5 linked regions of the Rattus norvegicus genome follow. The protein of the gene in region 1 purifies or fractionates together with the protein of each later gene. This does not show direct contact. Links are inferred from orthologs where the notes say so. Each region holds a gene or a part of one and is shown on either strand. Other genes may lie near its edges. The genes, in order: Cltc, Myo6, Ap2m1, Clta and Ptpn23.

Region 1 (6,321 bases):
ATTAAAATCTAATCACTATCTGTGTGGTTCCATAAGTTAACTGCAGTAACTTCAGCTTTCTCCTTTCTAAAAGGATGCTAAGTTAAACTACCTAGAGGGATGAACAGAAAACATTTAACAGGTTTTTAGTACATAAAGGTATTATTTAAGTGGCTGTAACAGTCAATAGAGTTTGATTTGGAGGGCAATTAAGTTTTGACAATTATTTCTTTCAGAGCAGAAAAAAAAAATACTTCCCATAATAGAAAAGAAACTCAGAGCCTACATTTGACAGATGTACTCTGCAGTAACACATTCAAATCCAAGCTTTTGGCCATCCCTTCAAGTTAATAGCATTAACTGGAGTTTCTGGGTTGATGGAAAACACCTAGAACTCCTTAAAGTTGAGTAAACTAACCTTTAAGAAAATTCTGAAAAGAAAGCTGTCTCCAGTTCGAAACTATTTCCACGGTAGATCAGCGTCTATTTCCAGGTGTGCACTCTTCCCGTCTACCTAAGCATACATTATGTCCCAGGAAAACACTGCTTTCTCTTCAAAAACCAACCCTGGCAAGAATCCTACTATTCAACATTATATTGCATGCCTTCACTTATGGATCAAAGCGAGAAGAATAGGGTGGAGAGATTTACAAATAAAAATTAGAAGTATCCAAGTGTTCAACAAAATGTGCCAATAGCAAAATGCTTAATATTCAAGGAATTGAAAATTGCAGGCGGTGGGATTTTGTTGTTTTGTCCTTTGAGACAGGGTTTTGCTGGCTAGCATTGAACTTACTGTGTTCTGCAGCCTAGAATTTGTTCAGAATCTGTAACTCAACAAAAATTCCTTCATCACATAAAATATTAAAATTATGTGATGTAGTTCCAAGCCTTGATGACAGATCTTTATCTAAACACGTACAAAGGGATATGAAAATAAATAGCAATTTTTTATTTGCAACACTCTCATAAAAAGCTTAAAAAAAATGTAGAGTTTGCTGTTAACTTTCACAAGTGAACTCTACACTCTCTAGTTCCTCATTTTCCAGTTCTTCTCCTAAGCGTTTTAAAAGTTGTTTTCTAAGCAGAATGGCAGAGGCTTGGAAATCAAAGACTTAAGATGACAACTGAAACACTCCTTACACTGAAGTGTTAAGAGAGGGATAAAAATCTGAGATCAGGGGGTTGGAGATTTAGCTCAGTGGTAGAGCACTTGCCTAGCAAGCGCAAGGCCCTGGGTTCGGTCCCCAGCTCCGAGGGGGGAAAAATCTGAGATCAGGAGAATACATTATCTTGGAAAAGATGGTGATTTGCCCTTTTGACGAAACTGATCACCATCTACTGGAGTGGAATCCTACCAGCCAAAGCTTAAAGTGTAACATGGTCCTCCAAAGAACAGACAGAGATCTTCAAGAACACTTGTAAAGCTATTTTATAAATATTCAAAATCTCCAAATTTAGGAAAACAGTTTCAAGTATTTGCAGAAATTGTTACTCACATGCCACACCTGCATTAAATTTGTTTTTAATTAGTGACAAGTTTGGATTCCAGTCTGTAGACCATTCAACAATTCTGGTCTCGTGTTTAACAGAAATGAAACACTATTACTCAAATCAACAATGATCATGTGATCAGCAGCTGTCTTTGCTTCTCTTGAATATGGTTTATATACATATTTGCAGAAGGCTATTTCTGATAAACTTCAGTGTGGACAAGGGTTAATTCCAAAGATGGGAGGAGAGAAAACAGCAATCCAATTCATGGCCAAATTAATTAAAGCAAGCAATTAATTAAAGCTAGTTTTTTTTTTTTCGTTAATGTACACAGGCTGCCTCCCTCTTAGCTCAGCTTGAAGAGGTCAGCACACTGTCCGCTAGCATCCAGAACAGTGCCTTCCTAACTCTTTATTTTCTTAACAGAGGAAACTCAAACAAGCTTGAATTGAGGACAAAATTAACTTCTCTGTCAGGATTGTCACTTGACATTTTTCAGACTTTTGCAAAATAGAGATCTTATTGCCAAAATCAGGTGAATTATTTGAAAACTAGTGATGACTGAAGAAAGTGTATTTAGCTCATTTTATGGGCAAAGGTCTATTATCATTTACATTTAAAGTCCTAAAGTAAAATAATTTTTTAATGTAAGCAACACGGTAAAAGTCTATAAAGAAATATTTAATTATTTTACTTGTAGCTGAATTTTAGTTAACCCTGTTTATTATCAAACATCTTTTACGTGTATCAACGGAGAACAGTAAATCAGATTGCCTTCAATGATAAAGCACTCAATAAGTTACCAATATTTGAACTGGATCGTTACACCTTCCCTCATGAAATTAGCCCTTCAAAAGATGAAGCTGAAAGCAGATTTCTTTATGGGGATATTTGGGGGGAAGTAAATTATTATGAATAAATTATGATGTTAAAGAGTCAGGACAAGAGAACCAGGAAAAGCAGCAGTTCAGAAGAAGCTTAATTCAGCGAAGCCCTCCAATGGTCACCTGCCTAGGCCAACTGCTGGCATGGTGCCAGGTTAGACAATGGTGTATTGACTCCAGGATAAGGTGCAGTGGGGGGAGGGGGGCACCCCAGCCTATTAAAAAGAAGCCAGTTATAGATCAACTTGTCAGGTACTGTCTCAGAGCAGGTATGCATTTACAGCACTCCAGGCTCTGTTGAATTCCACACAGTCCTGTGAGACATACTCCTGCCTTAATCCCACAACTACCTGCTAGATTCCAAAAGACCATAAATAACCTCTAAATAACTCTCCCTACCTACAAGAATCAAAGTGAGTCTTAGAACTACACTAACCCTTGAAGAAACCAAGAAAGGAAAAATATGCGCGTTCCCCTTGGGACCTTGACCCCAGGCACCCTGAGACTGACACCGCCCCTAGCCGCCCCTCTATCTTCTTTCTGTTCCTTCAGTGAGTGTGACCTTCGGTTCTTTACAGATTCAGGGAAGGCAAGACACAAGCCACTGCTACCCTAACCCCAAGGTGCCTTTCTCAGCTGTGAGCTGCAGAGCGAAGATGCAGCTCCTCCCCAACCCACCCGCCACACAATTCCTGGGTGCAGACTCGATGTGGAAATCGGAATAGACCAAGGGAAGGTGACAGCCCTGCATCGCCCGGAGTTAACGAGAATTCTTGCTCTGGGAGAAACGCGCGAGAAGCTCCCCCACCTAGCCCCTACCCAAATGAATGAACTGAGTAAAATGGGAAGGGGGGTCTGGTATGCGCAGTTCTTGCAATCCAGGAAGCAGAAATAAGAGGCCGTCAGACGTAAGGCCTGGCCTCGCCGCCCTTTGCACTCCGATTCGTCATTTCCATCCTAGTCTCATATCGTTTAACCCTTTAAGCTTTTAAGACAGTGTCCTTCCTCCATCAATGCCAAATACCGACACCCCCCCACTCCCGTTCTCTCGATCCCCTTCGGGCCGGGCCGCTAGCTTCCTTCCCAATACCCTCGAAAAGTCCCTCAGCAGCCCCGACTAACACGCACCTGGAGATGCTCCTGAAAGCGAATTGGCAGAATCTGGGCCATGGCGCTGTCGGGGAGTATGGTCTCCTCCTGTCACTGGGGCTGCAGGGCAGTGCCTGCCCGGGCTCTCCAAGGGAGAGGAGGAGAAGGGGAAGGGAGGGGGAGGTTGGGCTCAGAGGAATACTCTCCGGGGACGTAGGGAACTGGCAGGCAGACGAGAGAGCTTGGGTCGGGGGCGGAGGCTCCAAGGGCCGGGAGAGCCGCAATGGCGGAACCGGGAGCAGCGCAGACTCCGGAAACGGCTGAGCCCTGCGGAAGGATCCCGGGGCAGAACTCCGCCCAGCCTCCTCACCCTGTCCGCCTTATGTAGCCTTCCACGAACCCCGTGCAGCGGACAGGCGTAGGAATTCAGGGACGCAGTGCGCGGATCGCTCTTCGCTGATGCGGCAGCGGGGAAACAGAGGAACCGAGGGACTACTTTTTCTAGACTCATCACTTTCCCCAGGCTCCGGTTTCTCCCTCCTCCCCTCCCCCCCACCTTTTTTTTTTTTTTAACATTTTGCCACATCATGCGACTCGGGGCGAACTACGTCATTTCCGTAGGCGCTGTAGGACCCACCCACGCACTTCCAGGTGCACGTGATGCGGGTAGGGAAGGGTCGGTTGACGGCTGCCAGAGTGGAGGGCGAGAGTTAGGGACTGGCCGCTGCTCCTGGGGTTGAGGTGGCCGTTGAGCCCCCTGCCGGCGTGGCGACCGGGGCGTGAGGACACCGAGTGCCTGAGGAGAAGGCCGCGGCGTCGGCGCCGCGGTGACTAAGGGAAAACGGCCCCGCCGCAGCGCTCTTTGGGCGGCTGACTGCGGCGCGCCTCCCCCGCCCGGTTTCACGCAGTGGGTGGTTGCTGACACCTCAGGGAGGGGGGATCGTGCTGAGCTGCAAGCCTCCCTGCCCTGACGCACGCCCTTCTGACGCCAGGAGAGCCGGATGGCTCTCGAGTGCCTCAGATAAACCATCTCAAAGGACAGTGAAGGCCATGTGAGAAGTGTCTCCTGCTGGCCCTGGAGAGAGCTTCCGCGGACATTTTGGTGGACTTACACCAGCCTAATGTAGAGATTAGTTTGGCCTTTGAGAGTTGGGAGTGTTCGGCAACCTGAAAATCTTTAAAGGTTTAGATCAAAGGATGGATGGTGAAAGAAACCTCGAGGGCTTTCTTGGAGCGGAGGGATTGACTGTTGGTCATACACGTTAGTAGGATCATTGCCTGTAGTAGCAAAGTGGGCAGTGTAAGCTCTTCAAAACCGGAGCACCTTGCCTGACTACAGCACTAAGGTATCTGCAGCATTCATTAGCGATTCATAGCCGCTCCAGAGCTCTTGCTAAAGTGTAAGGTGTAATGTTTCACAATAGCACCAATAAGGATGATTTAGAGAATTCAATTCCTCATATTTCATCTTAATTCCCCTGAAAGTTCTTGAGAAAGTTATTTTCAATGCCCCTTTCACCTAAAGAACATAAGACACCACTGGGTATACAATAATTTTGTGTAAGCGGTTTTGCTTACAGAAATCTGCTTAGTCATTTTAGTTGCTTTTAGTGTTTCTCCAAATACTGCCTTTCATACCTGGGCTGAGAGAAACAGGCAAGTGAGAAGGCAGTCAGCCCCCCGTTGTGAAGAAGAGCCTTGCCACCATATTTAGGATGCTTTGTGTTTGTATAATTTCACTTAAACATTTGAATGCTCTCTCCTGCAACGTTTGAAACGATAGTTTTAATATGAGTCTAAAGACTTTAAGTCTTTTTTTAGAAGTGGACAAATTCTAAATTCAAAGGGAGATATTGTTTTACTGCAGAAATGTCAGTAGCTTAATCAAATGGCATTTTCAATCTTAGAATTTGGGGTGTAAGAGCAGATCACCACAGTTTAATTTATTGACAAGTGCCTTATACTTTCGTACACACTCTGCAGTTGTAAGGACATTTCAAATCCCCAGAGCAGTTGATTTTACTTCCTTGGTGTGGAATACCTAACCAAAAAGTGCACTGAGACTGCTTTGTCATCACACATAGAAATTTCAAGAATGAGTTGTTTCCAGAAATCATTAAGAAGAAAAGTAGATGGTGATAACCCAAATCATTTTGCTTATTAATAGGACTGTTGTCTTGCCTGCCAGATTCTCTTCTCAGCCTAAGTATGAAAGACAGTATTGGAGAAAAACACTAAAAGCAACTAAAAAGACTAAGCAGATTTCACTCAGCAAAGGCACCATAAACAGTTAAAGCACTTTTTTTTTTCCAAGCGAAAAATGGTCTAAATGATAATGCTACCCAATGCATTGTGGTGCTCACGTGTAATCCTTACACTAGAGGCTTCTGAGACAGGAAGATCTAGAATTCAAGAGAGCCCCACCACATAGCAGGACCTTGTTCCCCCAAACTAAAACAGCCTCCAAACTGGCATGCCCCTTAAAGATCAGTAATTTGTTGTAATAAAAGATGTTTATTATGAGACCATACTATCTAAATTTCCAACAGTACAGAGACAGGGGAAAGGATAGTTCCCTGGTTTAGAAACCCCAAAGGCTGAGGCACTAAGATTTCTAAGCTGTACCTGAAAGGCATGGTTTTAGGCCCTACCTTAAAATAAATAACCTGATAAGCCCTAAAGCAAACCCTGCTGTCCAGAGTAAGTAACTCTTTTACCAGAACAGACTGCTGCAATGGATGAGTCATCGCCCTGGCTTTTAGTTTCCCATGTTTTAATAAAGAGGCCATGTTACTAAATGGTCAAGGTCTGAATTTGAAGCTATTTTTACAGAGTTATCAACAGCAGGCCCTTATATAGTAAGTGCCTCAACAAA
Region 2 (5,521 bases), on another chromosome or scaffold:
GAGACCGCATAATTATTTTTGTTGCTACCTCATAACTGTAATTTTGCTAGTCCTGAATTGCAATGTAAATATCTGTTAGGCAACCCCTGTGAAAGGGTCATTCCACCCCCCAGGTTGAGAGCCACTATATTAAATGCTATGTCTTTTTTAAAAATTAGCCTGCCAAATGAATTTATGAAACACAGTTTACTTCCTTCTGTAAATTCACAGTGAATATTACGGGAGCCGTCTCTAAGAGTCCTACAGTAAAGGGATTTTTCAACTTCAGGTAGCCTAGAATGTCCTGGTATGATTGGACCTTAGTTGCTGTTTTATCATTTTGTTTTTTCAGAGCTTCCCAATTAACATTCTGCAGAGAAACTGTTTGGTAAATGAGCATGGTGTGTTGTTCCAACACAGTCTACAAGTGGGAGGTGTGGCACAAATAGAATATTAACATATACTTTCCTCTAACATGCACTATATATAGAATATTAACATATCTTTCCTCTAACATGCACTATATATATAAAGTCGAAAGCACCAACCCATGAAAAACTGTGGACAGCTTTTGGGGCAGCTTCTAGAATCTTAGCAGGAATTTGACATTGGGCCAGGACAGGGAAGTAGACTCAGGCAGGAATCTGACTTTGGGCTAGGACAGGGAAGTGGGCTCAAGATGAGTACAGCGGAGGAACGTGTTCTTTGTATCTTGGTGGGTCCTTTAAGACCCTGAATACAGTAATCATGGGACCTTCTGTGCTTTGTTCCTTACCTACCCTCTCTATGCTTTGTTTGTTCCTTAACTACTTTATGAGTTAGCACTGACCCTATTCTTTGCATGTACCTAGAATGATATAAAAGCAGACAAGAAAAAAAAACATGCCTGCTTTAGTCTAGGAACCAGCTGGGATCATGCTACACTGTTGTCTAATTGTCTTTTTCTTTTTAATTCTCACTCCCTCTCTGAAGAACTCATTGACTGACTAGACTGGCTTGGTCAAAAACCACTTATATTTTACTTGGAAAATGATGCGGGATGAGGCTCTCTTGTCTTTTTTATCATAGTATTTTTATAAATATGCACTATTGCCTAACAAAAGATCTCAATAATAATGTGCCTAGTTCCTTTGTGCCAGACCCGGTTTACTCTTCTGTTAGTAAAGATTTACCTTCTGAATCCTCCCTCATGCACAAAGCTATTTCAGGTGGTCTGAATGAGCTGATTTCCACACAGCTCCCAACCATTAAGCTTTCACCACAGACCTTCAAGTTATCCAAAATATTTTGCACTCACTCATGTTCTAGACCAGATATAATCAGCTGCTACAATGTGGCAGAAATACATTCAAACTCAGCTCACTCCAGTGTACTGGAGCCCAGAGTCCATGAGGCGGGGAGCAGGAGAGGCTGCAAAGACAAGCTGAAGCCCCACCACGGTCTAGAAAGACAGTCTGAGAGTTCAAACTCTGCCAGCCATTGAAGGAAAACTAGAAAAGCCTTTGCTTTAGAAAATATAAGCAGGGCGGGAAGCTGGCAAATGACTTTGGAAACTAATACAGTTATAATGTAAGTGACAAAAGAGGCCCCACTAAGGTACTGCCAATGAGAATAAAGGTTTATACTCTCAGAAGGTGAAATCCACATCATCCCATAACTATTGAGACTTGAAAAGAGAGACAAAAATCCAACCGGGTGCAGCTTGCTTAGCATGTGGAAGACCCAGAGTTCAATACACAGCACTTCAAATTAAATAGATTGGGGGTGAGAGGAGTCAGAGACAGGAAGAGACACAGAGACAGAACAGATCATCTAAGGTAGATACCATTTTGGCAGAGAGAATTGTTTCAGTTAGAATCTGAGAAAATGGTGAGGTGCGGGGCGTCAAGGAGAGAACGAGAGTTGGAGGAAGAGAATAAATTCTGTTTTCTTAGGACATGGTGGAATTCATAACCCTAGAACATATCTCAGATAGTGAATGTCATGAGATCTTCAGAAAATAAAATGAGTCTATACATGTTGGGTTAGGTATTGAGGGACCATTCCATCAGACACAGCAGGAACCAAAGGTACCCATTAGCACCCAGACAGTCCCATGACATCCCTCAAACCATCTCACTTCCAAAATAACAAATCTTGGTGTGAAATAAAGCATAGTTTGGTGAGAAGGTGTTGTTGTTGTTGTTGGTGGTGGTGGTGTTGTTGTTGTTGGTGTTGTTACTGAGACAGTCTTGATTCAAGGAAGGCCTTGAACTTTTTCTTCTTTATTTTTCTTTAATGTGCATGTATGTATGTATGTATGTATGTATGTATGTATGTATGTATGTATGTATTTTGCCTGCCTGAGCACCTGATACATGCAATGCCTGCAGAAGCCAGAAGAGAGAACTTAATTCCCTAGACCTGAGTTACACACAGGTGTGAGTTGCTGTGTGGGTGCTGGGAATCAAACCCAGGTCCTCTGAAAAAATAACCCATGCTGTTCACCACTGAAGCCATCTCTACAACCCCAAGACATTGAACTCTTGATTCTTCTACCCCAGCACTAGGATTAAAGAATGAGCTACTATGCCAGAGGGAAATACTTACGTTTGATGACTGACAGTGAACACCACTGAACTTTCTTCCAGCGACTACAGACTAGCCACAAATTGACTCTCTTCACCAACTCTGCTAAGTGATCAGGATCAGACTTCATAATCTGATCAAATTCTGCAAACTAAGAGTAAGATAACTTAGCATCAGCATTAAAGGGTAAATGTGCTCAAGTAGAGAGGAAATAACTACATGGATTTCAAATTCCAAATATAACTTCCTGAAAATGATTAAAATTCAACTCCAAGGATATCTTAGCAGGGTATACAGAACACATTTGGCCACTTGTCATGGCCCTTTCCTTCTGCCTTTCCTTCATCGATTTATTGGAAGGTAGGAAGGAATACTTATTTATCCCTAAGTAGCAGCAAAAATAGGTATAAGAAAAACTCTTAAATGACTGATTATGGAAAATTTGGCAGAAATATTTGAGGGAAAATGTTAAATGGGGCCAACACGTCTGAACCAGTTCAACCACATTCTCAGACATCCACATTGCTCAACAAGTAAAGGTCATTGAAAGCAGGGGAGCCACCAAAAGTCCTGTCTCTCCCAACTCTAATTTTAGACAAAAAAAATAGGAAATTACTGCTAGGAGACAGACCACGCAAATACAATACTTTTTCTATTTACCACAAAATTCCAGAATTATTTCCATTCTTCACCAAATATCACACTGCAGTGTTAAAGGTGTCATATGCCAATTAACAAAACAAGTGTTTAATCATAAAAACCGTAAGAGTAGCATAACAAGACTATGAATCTCTGAATCTGCTTGCTTTAAGCTTTCAACAACCTTCTGCATCTTTCTGGAGGAAAATAATCCAGGTTCTTTCTCTATCCATTAATTAGTTACTATAGCTCTGACACAAGAGAGATGTTGAATTTATGATAAATAACACAAAGTAATGTGAAGCCAGCCATGAACACCTATATTTTTTTCTCTTCATTTTTCACAGGAAATGGTACAAGTTCTGTGACAAAGACACCACAGACTAGCAATAAAATTGCATATTTTCATCCTGTGCTAAAAAATGTGAAATTAGATTTATTGTAACTATTTTGTTCTTGAGACACTAGAGAGAGTTGACCAGTGGAACTAGTGAGCTGCAATAACAACTATCTTTACAATTGTAACTATGTAATCAGTAAGTCAGTGTCTCAAGTGTTAGGAATATGGACGTGGTATTCTTAACATTTGTGGACAGCCCTAGGTGTTTGTGTACTGAATACAGTTAGCTCTGACATGCTCTGCAGTCAGTGAGTATCACAACTGCAGTACTATGTCAGCTTAAAAGCAACCTAACGCATGCAGTGTTTACACATTCCCTTACTGTGAAACTTGTCAATAGTCAGTACAAATCCAATCGAGTTTCATATGCTTTATGTATCTATCATACTCCAGTGAAACTTTCTCACAAGGAAAACTCCAACATGCTATGAAACTCACCAAGCGAGCTGGCACATGCTTACAGCATTGAGGAGTCTGGGCCAACTCAGATGGAGAATTCTGTGACAGCTTGGGTTACATGCTGAGCTATCTAACTGGCACATTATTAAAATATTATAGAAATAGTTTCAACTTATTTAAAATGTTAGAAAGTTTTGGTTAGTCCTTATTTAAGAAAAAAATTAACAATCCTCTGATTCCAATACTGAGTAAAACTATAATTTAAACTCATACGAAACAACCCCGAACAGGAAACCTGTGTGAACAGAAACATAATCTCATGCTGTTTCATATAATGCTGTAGTGATATAAATCGCCAATAACTAAGGAAATACATATGAAGCCCAACTGTCATATATATTTACCTTGCCAGGTCTGAAAAATACTTTTGTCAGCCCAAACTTGTAGTCAACTTCATTTAATCCCAAAGCTTTAAAAAGAGCCTGAAAAACAAGTTTTAAAAGTTGAGTTTAACAGAAAAGATTTGTTGGTGAGAAATTTCTATTGAAGTGGCATTTATACCTTACAAAATAGCCGTGGATCCAATCGTGCGAGTTTTTCTGGCATGTACTTCTTGTACATGTTATAGAGTTCATGAAATGAGGCTCTTGAAGGGAAACCCCCTTGCATGAGGTCCAGCACAGACACCATACCTAGAGTCATAAGCACAAATAATTTCCAGTCACAGTATGTAAATTCAGGGTGACATGTGAGTAACCCATCAATTTTACAAGCTAAAGTTTATGAAAAGAGCTTATAGTGAGAGTATATCAGAGTGAGGACGACCCAGGGAATCACACCTCCAGTCAGTGTGTCCAGCTTGTTTACCATGTAAAACAGACACAGGGAAAGCCAATGAAGTCAGCACCACTGAGCATTTCCCAGCGGCAGCCCATCCAGAAGGCTCCAATGTGACGTGTATCTTTCTAAATTCCACAAAAGTCATAAAGCAAATCCTGCCTTTGACCACTTTAAATCCTGAGGTTAATTTTAGAATACAACTTCTGAAAAAGTCTCCATTTCTATATTTTCCCAAGAACTAATAAGAAGCAAAAGAGAATTTATTATTTAAATATTATGTGCAACTTACACATACATACACACACCACATAGACACACATACTACACCACACACACACACATAGATATCCACACCACACATACCACACGCACCACATATATACATCACACACACACACATACACACACACACACACACACACACACACACACACACACACACTGCTGCTCCCAAGTAGTGCACCAGCCTTGCATGCCCAAGGCCCTAGGTTCTAACCCCAGCTTCAAAGACTTCTTTTACTAAGTTTTCAAAGAATACTAATCATTGGTTGAGAAGCTGAAACTGCAGGATAGATGCAAACTATTAATTTAACTCTAATAAACAGTCAATCTGAGCCTCAAGTCAACATGAACTTTTCTGGTCAGCATTAACAGGCAGGCAACACAAGTTACAAAAGAGGAAGGCCTGCCTCTCTC
Region 3 (6,268 bases), on another chromosome or scaffold:
GTTTCATCTTCCCCATGAACCCTGGGGACACAGGCCAGTTGAAGCTATACGAGCAGACAACTGGGGCTTCCAGACCGTTCCAGTTAACTGTTTTCTACCTTAAATCATAATTTCCTCCTTAAAACACCGCTATAAACTCTGACTTATCCAGACTCTTTAAATTTTCAGTCAAGGGTGTCAGCTGAGGAAATAGCTGTGTAGTGCTTGCCTAGCATGCCCCAGCAAATGTCTCCCCCATCAAGATGTCCTTAGCCCAGGTTTGGGGGCAACCTGAGGTAGGGATATTTTGACATTCATTTAACATATTTCCAGGGACTTTAATGAACAAAGGGCTATGTTAGAAGCATGACTTGATCTTCGCTGTCTTCAGTTCTCTCTGACTCTGCCTTTTCCTGTTCTCTTGAGAATCCCTCACCAGTGCTCCCATTATCCTGCCTTTGGCTCATGTCCCTTTCTTCCCCCCTTTCCCCCATAGTGTCAGCCACTCTCTTCTTAAGCTGTTGATGTGCTGGCCACTTCTAAATCTGGATCTCCCACCCCAGCTTCCCCTCTCTTTAGATCTGTTTTTATTCCCCACTGGACATCTCCCCAGGCTTGTCCATATGTCCCCAGCCAAGTATTATTCCTCTCGAATTCCTGCCCTTGTGACCTTCATTACAAGCCACACCTACACGGGCTTAGTCAGCATCTCACACCCTTATACTCAGACACTCTGAAGTTCAGCTGTTCCTCTCCCTTCCTTACATTACAGAGCATGGGATTTGGAGTCAGGTTGGTTTGGGCTTGATTTCCAGCTCTATCATTTTTGATTGTGTAATAGAGTTATTTAACCTCTCTGGAGCCTCAGTCCTCCCATATGTAAAATGATGATAATAATACCTACCTCACAGGGTTGTTGTGAGGATTTAAATTAGATATTGTACGAAAAGTGCCTAGCACAGTGCCTGGCACATAATAGAGTAGGTGCTCAATAAATGGTAGCTATTATTATTACTATTTCTATTTCTATGTTGTTGTTGTTGTTATCACTAATTTACTCTAAACTTTTAGGGTATGTTGGGAAGAGAAAGCTTTTGTGAAGATAGACATGAAGCCTTCAAAGGTTACAAGTTTCTGGGTTTTGGCTTCTGGAAGGAGGTTGCTAGGAATAGTAGGGTTAGCAACCAGATTTGAACACCCACCCCTTCCTTTCTGCCATAGAAGTCTCTGGCCTGTTTAGGCAACAGATGTCTCTGTCCACTGAGAGAAAAACCAACTTTTCTAGATTTGGCAAAAATCAGACAGCCGTTTGTGTTCGGGTTGGTTCTGCCTCATTCTCAGTTTGGATATCATAAGAAATCTTTTTTTTTTTTTTTTAAGGTTGAGACAGGGTTTCTCTGTATATCCCTGGCTGTCCTAGAACTCGATCTATAGACCAGGCTGGCCTTGAATTCAGAGATCTGCCTGCCTCTGCCTCTGCCTCTGCCTCCTGAGTGCTGAGATTAAAAGCATGTGCCACCACTGCCCAGATGAGAAATGGGATTTTAAAATCCCATGCCCAACTAAACTGGAGTGGTGGACAAACAGGCTCCCTTTTGTAGCCTGGGATGTCTTGAAACTCCCTATTTAGACCAGGCTGGCCTCAAATTCACAGAGATGCTCTTGCCTCTGCCTTCAGAGCTCTGGAATTAACGGCATATGTCACCAGCACACCACAGTCACAGATTTTGCTGAGAAAAACACTAATGTTTTACCAAGAATTAGTGCTTTCCTTCCCAGCCTTTCTGTTTGGATAATTATCCCTGAGAAAGGGCTCAGTCCTATCCTGGAATATATATAAAACCTCGGGAGAATCAAATGTGTTAAAAAGCAATAAATTCAGCAGTAACGGGCTTATGCAAGTTGTGTTTGTAAAGTGAATATAGCCACTCTTCGAAATCTGGAGACAATAAAAATCTAATAATTCAAAATTTACAATTGGTTTCAACAAACAGCTTTGGTCTCTTAAAGCCTACCTCCTCTAACTAGGAACGAGAAGGATTACAGAGACTACACTTCCCGTGATTCTCAGTGAAGCAAATAGTCTGTGGAGCGTACCATGACCCGTGTTGCCAGCAAGACGCACTGAGGCCGACGTCGACTCTGTCTCGAAGGCTGTCGGTAGTTGTAGTTTTGCTAGACTTAGGGCACTCGGATGTGTCAGCTTGAAAGCTTCGGAGACTGACGGGACTTGTAGTCGCCGCTGGAGGTGAGCGCGCAGGCGCAGCTGCGGGCGGGGCGGGGCGGGGCGGGAGCACTGCAGTGAAAGCGGAGGCAGCAGACAGGCGAGCTGGGGGCGGGCGGACATCTTGGGATCCGAGAGTGGCCAGGCCTGCCTTGTGGGGGCTGCTGACTCCAGGTGAGCTGGGAAGCTTGACTTAGAGATCCTTACCGGGCGGCGAGGGTGCCGTGGTCACCTGCCCTGCCCCGCACTGTGCTGGGTGGAAAACTGCCCGCACCCGGGAGTGGCCTCAGCCTCCAGACCCGGGAGGGAGCAGACGACCGGGCGGGGGTGCCTTGGGCGCGATTGCAGCAAGGGCGGGGAACGACGCCCTCCAGTAACCCGCTGGGCGTCTCCGGGAGGAGACTCGGGCCGGAATCCTAGAGCCGGGGACCCCGCGCGGCGCCCCATCCCTAGAATCCTGACAACCGCTCAACCCCGAGGTTTCCCATTCTCCCATCCCCCAGGACATTGACATCCCCTGGTGCCACTCCCTTGGACAGTGACAGGTCTCTCTGGAACACTGAGAGATTCCTTCCTCCTGGTTTACCCCCCACTGCTCTTCTACCTCAGACCTATGACAGCCCCCGCATCCCTTGGTGACATCTCCTCGGCCTAGATGTCTCCCCCCTCTGCTGAGAAAAACTCCACCAACCCCTCATGCTTCACTAAAAGAAGAGTAGGCCCTATCTCTCAGCTTTCTCTTTTTCTACTGTCTATCTTTTCGCCTTGTTTTGCTCCTCCAAAGCTCCTATGACCTTTGTCATAGGAGAACTTGAGGGACTCCCACAGCTGTATTTGCTGCTGTGGGGTCATCCTGGTCTATTGCTAGCAATTACAGCTAATCGGTCCCTTAACTAAATATTCCATTTCTGTCCAGGACACAACACACACACACACACACACACACACACACACACACACACACACACACCACAACCACAGCCACCTCCACCTCCACCACCACTCCCACCCTCGGCTGATACCTGTGGACTTGGTCCTTTGCTCAGGGGACAACCTCCATTTTGCATTTTCTTTCTCACCTTCTTTGAACTGTGAGACAAGTGTGTCCACTACCTTAGTTGACTTGTGACTGGGTTTCAAGGGTTAACTTTTCAGTTTCAGAAAGTCTTGTTAGACTAACATCAGTGAAATTAATACCAGGGTTAATCCAGAAAAATCTAGAACCAGATTAACCTATTTTCTTAAATATTCTAAATTAATTTTGACCCAAATGAATTTGGGCAGTTGAGACATTCTGTTACCTTGCCCATTGCTTAGTAAACACCAGGCCAGAAGTGACTGACTTGGCAGCTCTGGAGTCACAATTTAGCAGGATTAATGCTACATACAGACCTAATTTTTGTCACATTTTGAAATTTTGATAAGACAGTGACCAGAAATAATTGTAAAGGGGGCTCAAAAAGAAAGAAAGAAAGAAAGAAAGAAAGAAAGAAAGAAAGAAAGAAAGAAAGAAAAGAAAGGAAAGAGGGACTTGGCATTTCAGAGTCCTTACTGTTCTTCCAGAAGACCTGAGTTCAGGTCTCAGCCCATGTCGTTTGGTTCAGTACTGCCTGTAACTCAGGCTTGTGGGATGGAGGGCAGGGCTCCACCTGACGTCTAGACTTCCACACACACAGCACACACATTGGCATACCTATGTGAAGGTAAAAATGAAATCTTTCTAAGAAGAACTTGGGAGCATTGGAGCGTGGTTTGTTCGCCCTGGGCCTCTCTGTTCCTTTGCCTGCTTATCTCACTGCCTGGGGAAGACGAGCCTGCTTCAGCCACATTCCTGGGTTTGTGTTAGAGCCTAAGGGCCTCTTCTCCCACCCCCACCTCACTCTGCACACCCTTTCCTGGAATGTGTAGCCTTGTAGACGGTCATGCTCTGCTGCCTTCTTGGAAGAATAGTGCTTGCTCTAAAAGTTATGCCTGGTGGCGGGCACAAGCTAACTCCTACCGCCTAATCCCTACCGCCATTCCTGCATCCGCGGGCAAGCTTTTCTCTGACTCACTGAAGTTGCGGGGAGTGAGAGTCTGCACAGCAGGGGTTTGAAAAGAATCTTAGCTGAGCTCAGCATTGTGAAGACGACGGGGAGGGGTGCGAGTGGGGGTGGGGGGGTGGTTACTTTCAAGCTCAGCCCTCAGAAAAGACTGAGTAAAATGGCCTTAACCCTGGGCCCCACACTTAAAGTACTGTCTCCTATCCAGTGTGGAATAAACAGGAACTGGAGCCTCGCTGTGCGTGCAGGCGGGGCTTCCTTGGGAGGGCTGCAGGGTCACTTGCTAGAGGACTGAGTCAGGAAAAAAGGCAGCCCTGTACAGCCCCGCTGAGATGGGCAAGGGATCTAAAGATTTCCCCATTCCCTATCCCCACCTTTCCTACCTAGGTCTGTTCTCAGAGCAATGGGTCACAGAGACTGAGCTGCCGCCATGATCGGAGGCTTATTCATCTATAATCACAAGGGGGAGGTGCTTATCTCCCGAGTCTACAGAGATGACATCGGGTAAGTCCCCTGCCTGAGCACGCTGTGCCCCAGCCCCCCCATCGCCTCAGCCTGAGCATGCAATATAGCCTGGTTCCATTGGGCATCGGCCCAGCTGCTAGGCTCAGGGCCTGGGGATGACACCTCCACCCCCTAGGGTTAGGAACTCCTGCCCTTCCTGCTCCCTGTAGGTCTGGTCTGGTGGCTGAAGATGAGTGCTTTTGCCTGGTCAGGTTGATTCTTCCTTTCAGGAGGGAGCACTATCTCCTGTGGGTGTGGTTAGTGTGTGCTCGGTGGTACTAATCCATCTAAATCTTGCTTTCAAATCCTTCTCATACTGAGAGCCTTCCCTAGATCCCCTTAAAACCCCTCTCTAGTCTGTTGACTCAGCTGTTTTCTGTTCTTCTGGACCCTCCCTGGTTGTGAACAGGCTGCGCTCTGTGGGTCATGCTGCCTTTGTAGTTCATCCGGGTGGACCTGGGTAGCGCCTAAGACCTCAGGTCTTACAAAGAGTCACTGCAGCCTCACTTCTCTCTCTGCTTCACGCTCTGGCCTCCTCCACTGTATAACCTGAGGTTAGGCTCCTCTGGTTCTTCCTACCTTGGTTATCCCCCCCCCCCAAAAAAAAAACCCTTGAGATAAATAGAGACTTCTGATAGCTCTCCTACCTTCTTGCCTCCCTGGCTGATGGGCTAGCTTGGTGTGGCTGTATCCATATATATATATATTTTTTTTTTTTTTTTATTTTATTTTTTTTTTTTTTTTTGGTGGTAAAGCTGACCTAGATTTTGTGGCAGTGCCTAGCCTAAGTAAACCTGGCTGGTCCATCCCTTCCTGCTCCTCCCACCCTGGATGGTCCTGGTTTATGCCACCGCTGGGCCACATGACACCCCGCATGCCTTAGTGTGCTCTCTACCTGTTGCCTGTCTTGTCCGCCTCTCCCTCATGCTCTGTGCTGCCCACCGTGGTGTGTTGTGTGTCGTCTAACCCTCTCTCTCCTTGCTGTCACTCTCCTCTCGCTGACGTCATTTCTCTCATCCCATCTCATTGGCTGATGTAGCAATAGGTAAGCAGCCTGTGAAGCTGCCGCTCAGGTACAAGTGGGTTGGGGGTCCTCCCCCCTCCAATTGTTTTCCTTCATCATTTTTTATTCCCTAAACTTCAGGAATCAGACCTTAGAGAAGAGGTGGGTGGCATAGTCCACAGCCCCTCTTCCCCTTTAGAGCAGAGTCTTCTTGAGGTCATACAAGTTTGTCCAACTACCAGAGGAGTTGGCTTTTCCCACTGGTGGGCCCAGTAGAGATCTCCTTCTCTTCAGGGCCTGGAACTTCTGGAAAGCAGAGAGGGGACATCTTGGGTGTATCTGGGGAAGTAAAGACAGGGCTAGGGCTCAGTTTATTAACACTATACGCACCCTTCCATAGTTACCATTTGACTCCCCCTTCAGGAGCAGGCCAGTGCAGAACCTTCCTGACCCTGCTGGGGTATCAGAGGGAAGCCTGTAGAGAGGTCAGGTTTCGGTGACGTGGAGGGGAGGCCG
Region 4 (5,521 bases), on another chromosome or scaffold:
GCTGCCTACCTTTGGTGTCTTGCTGTGTGGCTGAAGCTCACCTGGAATTTGCCCAGGCTGGCCTCACAACCCTTGATCTCCTACGTCAGCTTCTGAATGCTGGCACTATAGGCGTGTATGAACATGCGTAGTTCATATCCACACCCCAACCCCTGTGTGTGTGTGTGTGTGTGTGTGTGTGTGTGTGTGTGTAGGTCGGAGGAAAGCTTGCAGGAATCCTGTCCTGCTGTTTGGGTCACGGGGATGGGACTCAGGGTGTCGGGCAGCTTTTTTTTTTTTTTTTTAAAGTGCAAATGAGTGTTTTGCCTGCATATGTGTTTCTGCACCACTAGGGTGCCTGGAACCCATGGAGGCAGGAGAGCACTGGAGCTCTTGGAACTGGAGTTACAGGTGGTTTTAAGCTGCCCTGTGGGTGCTGGGAATCAAACCTGGGTCCTCAGAGGGCCTCCAGTGCTCTTTACCCCTGAGCCATCCTTCCAGCTACCTTCTCCACTGAAGTATTTTGCCTTTTGATCCCATGGCCTCACTGAGGCATGGGGGCTAGGAAGCTGTCTTGTCACTGAGCTCTGTTCCAGCCCTGCCATCACTTCTTAAAGGCTACTTAGTAGCGCATAGCTGCTACAGTAGCAATATTATATTTTGCTGTATAGTCCTTAGTCCTTCCCTCCAGCCCCGATTGACAGGCTGGAATCTTATGTCTTGCAGATGCGGTTGATGGAGTGATGAATGGCGAATACTACCAGGTACGAAGTGCTCTTAACTATATTAAGTGATGTCTTAAGTGTGATTTGAACTGACTAACCTAAAAGAGACCCCAGTGCTGGTTCACTGCCTACCAGAGTGGACAGTGGAAGTGGTAGAAAGAGCTTTTTTAAAAAAACGAAAATTGAGATACTGGTCGTCATCCTCAATTCAAGCACTGTGTGCCTTATGCCATACCCAGCACTATAGAGGTCACTAGTGACAGTGTAGTCCTGGCTGTCCTGGAATTCACTGGACTGGGCTGGGTTCCCTCACAGTTTCACTTGCTCCTCAGCTGGAATCCACCACTAAGCCCGGCAGTCACAAGAACTTTAAGTAATTCCCCTTTTCTCTTTGTTAGAGTCTAATAAGGCTAAGCGGGTAATGATCCCCAGGTGGCCACATAGTATAATTCTCCAGTCAGTTCGCAACTATGGGTTTCCGTCAACCTGTTATTAGCTCTCAGGTCTTTACCCACCACAGAGAAGCCTCCCTGCCCTCTGACTCATAGTCACCCCCATTTTTTGATCCTTCCCTGATTTGACTACAGTTGCTATACTTTTGAATTCTTTCCTAAAGTTTACCGTCTGGCTAGATGTTATTCAGTGACTGTTCCCCTGTGTGGTAAAATGGCTTCTGAAGTCTTAGGCTCTAGGCTTGGCTTTGCTCTGTGCTTATTAGCTTTGAAGGCAGCACATAATCTCCGAATATGTCCCTTACCCATCCAGCCTCAACTCTCCTGTCACCCACTTGTGTCCCGCTTTTCAACAGATAGCAACTAGTCTGCCTCCCTCCTGAGAGCGCAAGGACCCAGCTCAGTAATGTTGCGATGCAGGAGGCTCTCTGGTGGCTTGTAGGGTTCTCTTACTGCTTTAAGTAGTCCTTTAACAGTTACAAGCCCGCCTTCTATGTGACCTGACGTTCTACTCTTGTGAAAAACATTTCAGAAAGACTTGGGGGCACTGATGGATATAATTGTTTTGTGTTAAGGAGAGCAATGGTCCAACAGACAGTTACGCAGCCATTTCAGAAGTGGATCGGTTGCAGTCAGAGCCTGAAAGTATCCGTAAGTGGAGAGAAGAGCAGACAGAGCGCCTGGAAGCCCTCGGTAAGGAATTCCGCTTTGCTTTCAGGTGTCTGCTTACAGTAGAGTAGTTGACGAGAACTGTACTCTGATCCCCTTTAAGCTTGCATCGGCCATAGTGTCTCTGTTCAGTGTTGAGGAAGTTGTATTTCTCAGCCTAAAGGTCACAGGCCACTGGCAAGGATAGGCTTCATCAGCGGCTACTGCATGAAGAACTCGGGAGTGTAGGGAGGCGTCTTCTCCAGGAAGTGAAAGGCTCAGTTCAAGATTGCACCTTGCTGACTGGGTGCCTGGTTCCCGTCTTTCACTGTCATCATCTGAGGGAGTCAGTGATGCTGACTACAGCTGAGTGCTGTTGACAAGCATATGGGAACTTGAGGTACTGCTCATGTGAGCGACACTGACGGTTCACTTCTCATTTGAAAGATGGATCTACTGTTAGGAAATGTGTCCGTACCTTCCCATGCTGTGACAACATAGTGGACAGAATCAACTGAAGGAAGAAGGTTCAATTTGGCTCACAGTTTCAGACATAGCTGCTGGCTCTATTGCTTTCAGGTCTGGGAATAGAGAGACTTCCAGGCAGAACAGACAAAGGGCATCTGTTCGCCTCATAGCAGATAGGAAGCAGGGAAGTAAGGATGTCATACAGTTCAGAGGGACTCTCCACAGCCACCACTTCACCCAGCCTTTACCTCCCCTGTTACCACATCTCCCAGTGGTCCATTCAGTCATGGATCAGCCCATGGATTAGGTCGAGTCTCTTACAGTGCAGTCACTTCCAACAGATAGCACCATGAGCCTTTTTTTTAAAGTCCATAATTGAATTTGTGTGTGTGAATGTTGTAGCAGTGTCTTAGGGTTTCACTGCTGTGAACAGACACCATGACCAAGGCAACTCTTATAAGGAATTTAGTTGGGTCTGGCTTACAGGTTCAGAGGTTCAGTCCATTATCATCAAGGCGGGAGCATGGCAGTGTCCAGGCAGGCCTGGTGCAGGAGGAGCTGAGTTCTACATCTTCACCCAAAGGAAGCCAGGAACAGACTCAACATCCTAGGAGAAGCTAGGAGGAGGGTCTCCAAGCCCAGCCCCACAGTGACACACTTCCTCCAACAAGGCCACACCTTCTAATAGTGCAGCTCCCTGGGCCAAGCACATTCAAACCGTCACAAGCAGCATGTCTGTCTGTGTAGTGTGTCTGGTACCTGCAGAGGTCAGAAGAGGTTGTTGGATCCCCTGCACCTGGAGTTACAGATGGTTGTGACCCATAATGTGGATGCTGGTCTTCTGCAAATCAACAAGTGCTCTAAATTCCAGAATCTTCTCTCAGGCTGTCTACATGAGTCTTTTTAGGGGATCCTATCATTTCCAAATCATAACATGGACTTTTTTTCTTTACCTTATTATCCCTGTAAGGTAAGGGATCTTTTTGCATTTTAAAAAAGTATTTATTTTTTATGTGCATTGGTGGTTGTGACTGCATGTATGTCTCTGTGAGGGTGTTGGATGCCCTGGAACAGGAGTTTCAGATGATTGTAAGCCACCATGCGGGTGTTGGGAATTGAACCCAGGACCTCTGGAAGAGCAGCCAGTGCTCTTCCCTGCTGAGCCATCCCTCCGCCCCCCCCCCTTTTCATTTTTATGAATAAAGGTATTGAGGATCATAAGTAGATTACATTTGAAGCACACAGCTAAGGAGTGTGGTAAAAACAAGTTTGGGTTTGTCTGCTCTGCTGAGGCTCCACATTTACCCCACGAGCCACGTGGCTTTCTACGTGCATTTTGTGTACAGGGCCATCTAACTGGGCAGGCCAAGCCCTACCGTGGCATCAGCTTCTTGTTTCTCTGGCTGTCCTGGAACTTGATACTTCGATCAGACTGGCCTCAAATTTACAGAGAACCATCTGCCTCTGCTTTCCAGGTGCTGGGACTAAAGGTATATGATATCATGCCTAGCCCTAACAAAAATAATTATAATGATTGTTAGAATACATAGAAAGAATATAGTCCAATCAAAACACTTAAAAATTGTAAACATGTCAAGGTTCTATTTTGAGACCCAGGATTGGACTCAGGCCATCAGGCTTCTACCCCAGAACCATCTTGCCAGCCACAAAAGGGGTGTGATTGGGAAGTGATTCCAGTTTGCAGTTAGGTCAGGTAGTAGATTTTTATTTCCTTGAAGCTCACGTGGCCTCCTCAACTTCTGGAGTCTGATGGCAGAGTAGTTTATCCTCTGCCCTGTGTGTGCCATGGGCAGGACTGTCGGCAGTTCTCTGCCGGTATGTCAGAGGCTTTCGGGGGAGCTCATAGTATACAGTCTTGTGTGAGTGCCAGGCAACTTCCGGTGAGTTAAACAACAAAGAAGAGAGTCTGTAATAGCAGGACGCCTGGAGATGGCTCTAGACACAGCCTGGCCCAGGAGGTTAGTACGTGTCTGGCAAAGGGCAGATGCCCAGGAATACTCTGCTTCTTCAGGCCTTCCTTACTTGATGCCACCCTGCTTTCACTCTCCTTCTCCAAGGTGCTAATTACAGGTTGGGCTCTTACTCTGTGCTTGGAGACCTCTCTGGATTACTTGATGGTTATATAATCATGTGATTATTTCCAGGTTTGTGTACTGAAGTGAGTCAAGTGTGAGCTTGAGAGCAGACTGGGTCTTTGCTCGCCCCTTATCCATGGCAAGCTTACTCAGCTTTTTGAGGGCTTTTTCCTCCCTTACTGCTGAAAAGGAACCTAAAATTTATCTTCTTGGGAGTATTGTAAAGATTGAGGTCCATGAGAGGATGTCCCCAAGACCATGTTTAACTGTTAGCAATTCACATGTGCTGCTAGCAGTGATCATGCTTCCCTGCCTTTGTGACAGGTGGTCTTCAACCAACATCGTGCAAAACTACATTTAATCTAAAACTTGACTTTGGTGGCTAAGAGTATTGACTGCTCTTGCAGAGGACCCCAATTCAGTTCATAGCAACCACATGGTGGCTCACAACTGTCCGTACCTCTATCTCATGGGTTTTCATATCTCTGGCCTGCATATGTGCTGGATTGTGTGTGAGCACACACACCAAAAAAGAGCTTGCAAAGGAGAAAATGTTTGCGAATCCAGGGTAGCAAACCTGCAGATATGAATTCTCTCTGAACTTACTACTGTCTTAAGCCTTTTGGTGATTGTTAACCGGTGACCCTGTGTCCTTGGCCCCTGCAGCTCCCTCCATCCCGGTTTTCTTTCACTTAGCTCTGTTACAAACTGACTGTCATCCAAACTGGAGTAGGTATTCTGTGGTCCTGTGTCCTACCATTCTCTGATTTGTGAGCCATTTCTACCTCTGCTAATTTTACTGTTAGTTTCCTGCCTCGCCAAGTGTTTCTGCCATATTTATAATTAGAGTAACTTTGTTCGGGGTGTGGACTGTGTACATTTCTAGAAGAGTTAGAAGAATCTGTTCCGTTAGTTGGGAGAGTACTTGCCCAGCATGCACAGAGTCCTGAAGTCAGTCCCTAACACAATACAAAACTGGGCAGAGTCACACATTTCTGTAAATTAGCATTCAGAGGGGGAAGCAGGAGGTAGAAGTTCACAGTTTTCACCAGTATCATAGGTTAAGGGTCATCCTGGGCTACATGAAACATTGGCTCAGAAAAAGAAAAAGTTGTTATTTATGCCCGTGCACCATATGTGTGAGGTGCCTGTA
Region 5 (5,003 bases), on another chromosome or scaffold:
ATTGTTGATCTCTGGGTACTGGTGAGCTGGAGGGGGTAAGGAGCAGGGGGACCAAGCTAGAGGAATCCTAGAGGAATGACAGCAAGCACTTCCTGGCTAAAGCACAGAGCACCTTGGCAAGTCCCAGAGACCAGAACCTGTCCTCCCTGTCCTAGGTCTTCCGACTGGAGGATTCGTGTTGCCTCTTTACCCTGCAGGGCCACTCGGGGGCAATCACAACTGTGTACATTGATCAGGTAAGGGACCTGTGGTGGGGCTGTGAGGTTTGCCTCCTGGAACGGTAACGGGATGGGGACACTGTTGATAAAGGCCTGTGACTGAGTTCCTTTGGGCCTCTTTCCCCAGACCATGGTATTGGCCAGTGGAGGACAAGATGGAGCCATCTGCCTGTGGGATGTACTAACAGGCAGCCGGGTCAGCCATACATTTGCTCACCGTGGAGATGTCACCTCCCTCACCTGTACCACTTCCTGTGTTATCAGTAGTGGCCTGGATGACTTCATCAACATCTGGGACCGAAGCACAGGCATCAAGCTGTACTCCATTCAGCAGGTGAGCGGGCGGGGCATAGGGTGTTGGTGTTTGGGACTCGCACTCACATTCAAGACCTCTTCTGGCTTTGCCTCCAGGACCTGGGCTGTGGTGCAAGCTTGGGTGTCATCTCTGATAACCTTCTGGTGACCGGCGGCCAGGGATGTGTCTCCTTTTGGGACCTAAACTATGGGGACCTGTTACAGACAGTCTACTTGGGAAAGAACAGTGAAGCCCAGCCTGCCCGGCAGATTTTGGTGCTGGACAATGCTGCCATTGTCTGCAACTTTGGCAGTGAGCTCAGCCTAGTGTATGTGCCCTCTGTGCTGGAGAAACTGGACTGAAGGCAGGTCAACTGCACTATGCCTTTCCCCCATCCCAAGGTGGGGCACTGGGGATTGCAACTCTTTGGACCTAGACTGGAGGCAATAGGTAGGCATCTTTGCAGCTGACTCAGAACTGTTGTCTCCTGACTGTAATAATAAACTTTTTTTTAAAAAACCACATTTACCAGGGTCCAAAGGTACTGTCATTCCACTCCCTTCTCAGAGCTATCCAAGAAATGTGGGGATTTGAACAGCAAAGGGAGAGGTGTTTTTGGCACTCCTGAGGTAACAGCAGGTGAACTCGGACACTGGCCACAGAGTAAGTTTATTATGTCAATAGCCCAGGGCTGGAAAAATGTCAGGTTCCGCAAAGGAAGGAGCAGAGCCTGACTGAGGCCTGAAGTGCATCTCCATCTGGCACAGCTGAAGGCAGCAGGGATGGGAGGTGTAGTGTAAGGACCAGACAGGCAAAGCCTTCTCAGGTCTTGTTAAGTGTCCAGAGTGGATCCAGGAGGCTGAGGGGGTCATCCGTAGGTTGGGCAGCCCTGAGACCCTGCCCGTTGTGAGCCTGCAGAAAGTTCTGCTTGCTCATCCGCTGCTTTCCCCGCAAAGAGCTGTCCAGGGAAAATGCTTCTGGAGTCAGAGAGGCCAACAGCTCCAGGGATGACGAGGGAGGCCCTAAGCTGGGGGCTTCAGGCACTGATGGCTCCTCCTCTGGCTGGGGGGGTTCAGGCAGAGGGGAAGAGGGGGGGGGAGGTGAGGAAGGTGGGGCAGGGGTGGGCTCTGGAAGGCTAGCTGGTGGAAGACCTGGGGGCTCTACAAGGCTGGGAAGGCTGGCAGCGGGGGAATCCAGGCCACCCAGGGGCCGGATGCTGAGCTTGGCAATGGTAGCCTGAATGGAGCTGATGGGCACGTCTCCACCAAGGACCAGATCCTGGGAATCCTGAGGAAGGTGGCTCTGAGAAGGGAGAGCTAGTAAGAAGGGTGTCACCAGGTCGTGACCATCCCAGTGGCCCTCAAGAAACTGCCCTCACCTTCTGGCTGACGCTCATGCTGGCCACAGGCTTGCCAGGAGGCGGCACGCCGTGGCGCTGCAGGACCTGCTCCACATGTCGCACCAATGCCTCGTGGCAGAACTTGAGGTGCAGCTAGAGAGACATTTGGTCTAATCAGCTGGGCGGAGCCATCTCAGCAAGGGCAAGCGGGACCCAGCTCCACCCACTCCGCCCACTTACTTTCTCCTGCAGCATGTGTTTCCTCTGCTGCCGCATCCGCCTCACCAGCTGAGGCAGCTCAGGAATCCCACTCCCAGCCTCTACCTCCTGCACGGCGGCATACAGCAACGCAAAGGCTCCTGTGCGGCCCACCCCCGAGCTGTGACAAGAAAGGAGTATAAGGCCAGGCTAAGAGCCCGCAGGACACAGCCTCATGCTGGTAGCTGAAGGCTCCCTACCTGCAGTGTACGACAATAGGTGTGTGCAGGGGTCGCTGGTGCAAATAATGTGCGTGCACCTCCTGGATGAAGCGCAGCAGATTGCCAGGGCTGTCTGGCAGGCCTCTGCAGGGAAAAGCAGGTATGAACCCGGCCTGATGTGAGGCCTTCACCCTTAAGCACCCAAGGAGTTTGTCCTTGACCCCACCACCCAGAGCCATGAACGCACAACTCAGGCCAAGTAGGGAAGTGTAGGTGCACGAGAGAGCGCTTGAGGCTCTGATCCCGGAACTGCAGGCTCAGCACTCGCTCCACATGGGTATCAGTAGTACGAACACTGCTCAGGGCCACGCTCAGGGCCCCGTGCACCATGGGCTGGCCCCTCTCAATGGGGAAGTAGCGGGCCACCTTTTGCTGAAGAGTAGACAAGACAATTCAGGCTAGCTCTCCTGGACTCCCGGCCTCCCCACTCCATGATTCCCTCCTGGTTCCCATCTAGGCTCTTACCTTTTCCATCTCAGCCTCAGACACCAGCATGACAATGACGGACACTTTCTGTTCATGCACCATGAGCCAGAAATCTGCAGCTGTGCCAGGCAGCGGAGCCTGGGTGGCCACTAAGGGTGGACAGTATGGCGAGAGCCCCTCCACACAGCTAGCATTGATGTAGTCGTCTTTGCCTGAGCGCAGCACCACACGGTTACTGTCATACGGCATGACGTCCTGGTGCCGGTTCTTCAGGGAGTAGCAGCGGGCAATGGCAATGGATCGGCCTCGGGCATCGTGTTCCTGGGCCTCCTGCAACTCTCTCCAGACAGCATCCAGTGCTCCTGCATCCCCCAGCTGGCCCCGAAAGCTCTCCAGCTCCTGCTGCAACTTCTGCAGCCTCTCAGGATGTTCATAGGGGTCCTGCTCAATTAGCCGCAGGGCCTGTGGCCGTCGGCCCTCCGCTGCATCTACCTTGGTAGGCTGCAGCAAGGGCTGCCCGCCCCCAGGAGGCTGAGTCCCTCCATGCTGGCTCTCAGGGCTGGAAGACAGCAGGTCTGCAGCTGCAGCACCTCGGCGCAAACATGGTGGTGGCTCTGCTGTTGGGGGTCTTGAAGGTACTGGGCCAGGCCCTGGCGATGGGGCAGGTGAAGGCACCAAGTGGGGACTAGGGGCAGGCTGATTGGCTGGTGGGGGACCTCGAATGGAGACAGGGGTTGCCTGAGGACCCAGGGGCCTAGGGGAAGGGGCAGGGCCATATGCCAGGGTGGGGTGAGGATGAGGAGGCCCAGGGCTCGGGAAAGGCAGAGCCCCTGAGTGTGGGGGAAGAGTGTCTGGAGGTGGGCCTGGGTAGAGCTGGGTGTGCCGGGTGGGTGGTGGCTGTCCCAAAACACCAGGCTGAGGAGTAAAAGGGTAGGGGGGTGGTGGTGTGAGAATCCCTGGGGCCTGAGATGGGAAGAGATGTGGATGCTGGAATGGAAGGGGCTGTTGTGTGGGTTGTGGCCCAAATACTGGCCGTTGGGGCTGGGGCTGGGGCTGGGGCTGGGGCTGAGGCGGAGGCTGGGGCTGGGGCTGGGGCTGGGGCTGGGGCTGAAGCTGAGGTGGGGGCTGGGGCCCAATCCTGGGGGCTGGAAAACTGGTAGGGATCCCAGGAGGAAAGTGATGCTGTGGTAGAGGGCCTGTGAGGTGCTGCTTGGTCCCTATAGAATAAGTATAGGGTGTGGGCAGAGGCTGCGGCTGGGGAACAGATTGGGGTACAGGCTGAGGCACTGGAAAGCAAGGCTGGGGAGGAGCTGGGGCAGGGCCTGGCCGTGGTGCCATGTGGCTAGAGATAGGGGCTTGGACACTATCTACTGTGGTGGTAGCTGGCCGGACTGCCATGGCTAACTCAGGTCCTGAGAACTGGGGTGGTGGAGCAGAGGGAAGACCTACGACTGGTTGGGGTGGCCCTACCCCTGCATAGGGACTGCTTACAATTCCATGCTGGGGAGAGGATCTGGGTACAAGGCCCAACTCCGATGTATAGACAGGGGCTGGGTAGAGGACAGGTCCAGGGGCCATGGGCACTGCAGCCCTAGGCTGCATCAGCTGAGTGGGGCCTGAGTAGGTTCCAGGTGGTAAGGGTCCTGAGAGATAGTGGGTTGCTGGGCCTGTGGAACCAGGGAAGGGGCCAGGAGAAAAGTGGAGAGGGGCAGCAGTTCCTAGGAATGGGTCAGGCAGCCGTGGGCCAGCCATCATGTCAGGGGGCAGGCTGCGCAGCTCCTCGGGTTGGTCTCCAGCCTCTGCGGCCTCTCCCTCCTCACGGCGGGACAGCAATGGCTTTGGGGCTGTGGGCCGAGGTGGTGGTGCCTTCTTCTTCAGCTCCCTAAGGGGCAGGCAGGGGAAGTAAGGCCAACCTCTACGAGCCAGGCTGGCCTGGGCACAATCTGCAACGAAGCCTAAAGCCCACACCTACCTGTCCAGGAGTTGCTGGCGAGCGGCCTCTTGGGCACGGCAGAGAGACTGTGCCCGTTCCAGCAGGGCGGCTACCTTGCTTTCCAAGTCTGCATAGAAGTCCTTGCCCTCCTGGGACTTCTTCATCAGGTCCTCATAGGCTTCATAGGATGCAACCAGGGTCTGTAGTGTGGAGTTCCACCTTGGTGGGCAAAACAGAAGCCAGACTGAGGCGAGCTATAGGGACAGAGCTCTGCCTGGGGCGGGGCAAGAACAAAGGCAGGGACTGACTTTTG

Evidence for each region.
Region 2: the proteins of Cltc (region 1) and Myo6 purify together in Homo sapiens (affinity purification with western blotting; 4 studies listed by BioGRID and IntAct, with this or other methods). This does not show direct contact. The link is inferred for Rattus norvegicus from reciprocal best matches to the Homo sapiens genes CLTC and MYO6.
Region 3: the proteins of Cltc (region 1) and Ap2m1 purify together in Homo sapiens (affinity purification with mass spectrometry; 3 studies listed by BioGRID and IntAct, with this or other methods). This does not show direct contact. The link is inferred for Rattus norvegicus from reciprocal best matches to the Homo sapiens genes CLTC and AP2M1.
Region 4: the proteins of Cltc (region 1) and Clta purify together in Homo sapiens (co-immunoprecipitation; 6 studies listed by BioGRID and IntAct, with this or other methods). This does not show direct contact. The link is inferred for Rattus norvegicus from reciprocal best matches to the Homo sapiens genes CLTC and CLTA.
Region 5: the proteins of Cltc (region 1) and Ptpn23 purify together in Homo sapiens (affinity purification with mass spectrometry; 3 studies listed by BioGRID and IntAct, with this or other methods). This does not show direct contact. The link is inferred for Rattus norvegicus from reciprocal best matches to the Homo sapiens genes CLTC and PTPN23.

The regions. Positions count from the first base shown.
Region 1 is NC_086028.1:72,067,067-72,073,387, forward strand, and holds the start of Cltc (clathrin heavy chain 1), read right to left. Parts: upstream 3,626-6,321; 5' UTR 3,528-3,625; coding exon 3,486-3,527; intron 1-3,485. UniProt on the Homo sapiens protein: Clathrin is the major protein of the polyhedral coat of coated pits and vesicles. Two different adapter protein complexes link the clathrin lattice either to the plasma membrane or to the trans-Golgi network.
Region 2 is NC_086026.1:90,088,491-90,094,011, reverse strand, and holds part of Myo6 (myosin VI), read right to left. Parts: intron 4,678-5,521; coding exon 4,547-4,677; intron 4,468-4,546; coding exon 4,390-4,467; intron 2,699-4,389; coding exon 2,569-2,698; intron 1-2,568. UniProt on the Homo sapiens protein: Myosins are actin-based motor molecules with ATPase activity. Unconventional myosins serve in intracellular movements. Myosin 6 is a reverse-direction motor protein that moves towards the minus-end of actin filaments.
Region 3 is NC_086029.1:93,864,562-93,870,829, reverse strand, and holds the start of Ap2m1 (AP-2 complex subunit mu), read left to right. Parts: upstream 1-2,349; 5' UTR 2,350-2,377; intron 2,378-4,632; 5' UTR 4,633-4,675; coding exon 4,676-4,749; intron 4,750-6,268.
Region 4 is NC_086023.1:63,046,464-63,051,984, forward strand, and holds part of Clta (clathrin light chain A), read left to right. Parts: intron 1-705; coding exon 706-743; intron 744-1,731; coding exon 1,732-1,849; intron 1,850-5,521. UniProt on the Homo sapiens protein: Clathrin is the major protein of the polyhedral coat of coated pits and vesicles.
Region 5 is NC_086026.1:119,238,050-119,243,052, forward strand, and holds the end of Ptpn23 (tyrosine-protein phosphatase non-receptor type 23), read right to left. Parts: coding exon 4,999-5,003; intron 4,910-4,998; coding exon 4,730-4,909; intron 4,640-4,729; coding exon 2,797-4,639; intron 2,704-2,796; coding exon 2,519-2,703; intron 2,416-2,518; coding exon 2,311-2,415; intron 2,232-2,310; coding exon 2,093-2,231; intron 2,006-2,092; coding exon 1,892-2,005; intron 1,816-1,891; coding exon 1,336-1,815; 3' UTR 1,164-1,335; downstream 1-1,163. Other genes in the region: Scap (sterol regulatory element-binding protein cleavage-activating protein), read left to right, coding at 156-236, 346-552, 630-875. UniProt on the Homo sapiens protein: Plays a role in sorting of endocytic ubiquitinated cargos into multivesicular bodies (MVBs) via its interaction with the ESCRT-I complex (endosomal sorting complex required for transport I), and possibly also other ESCRT complexes.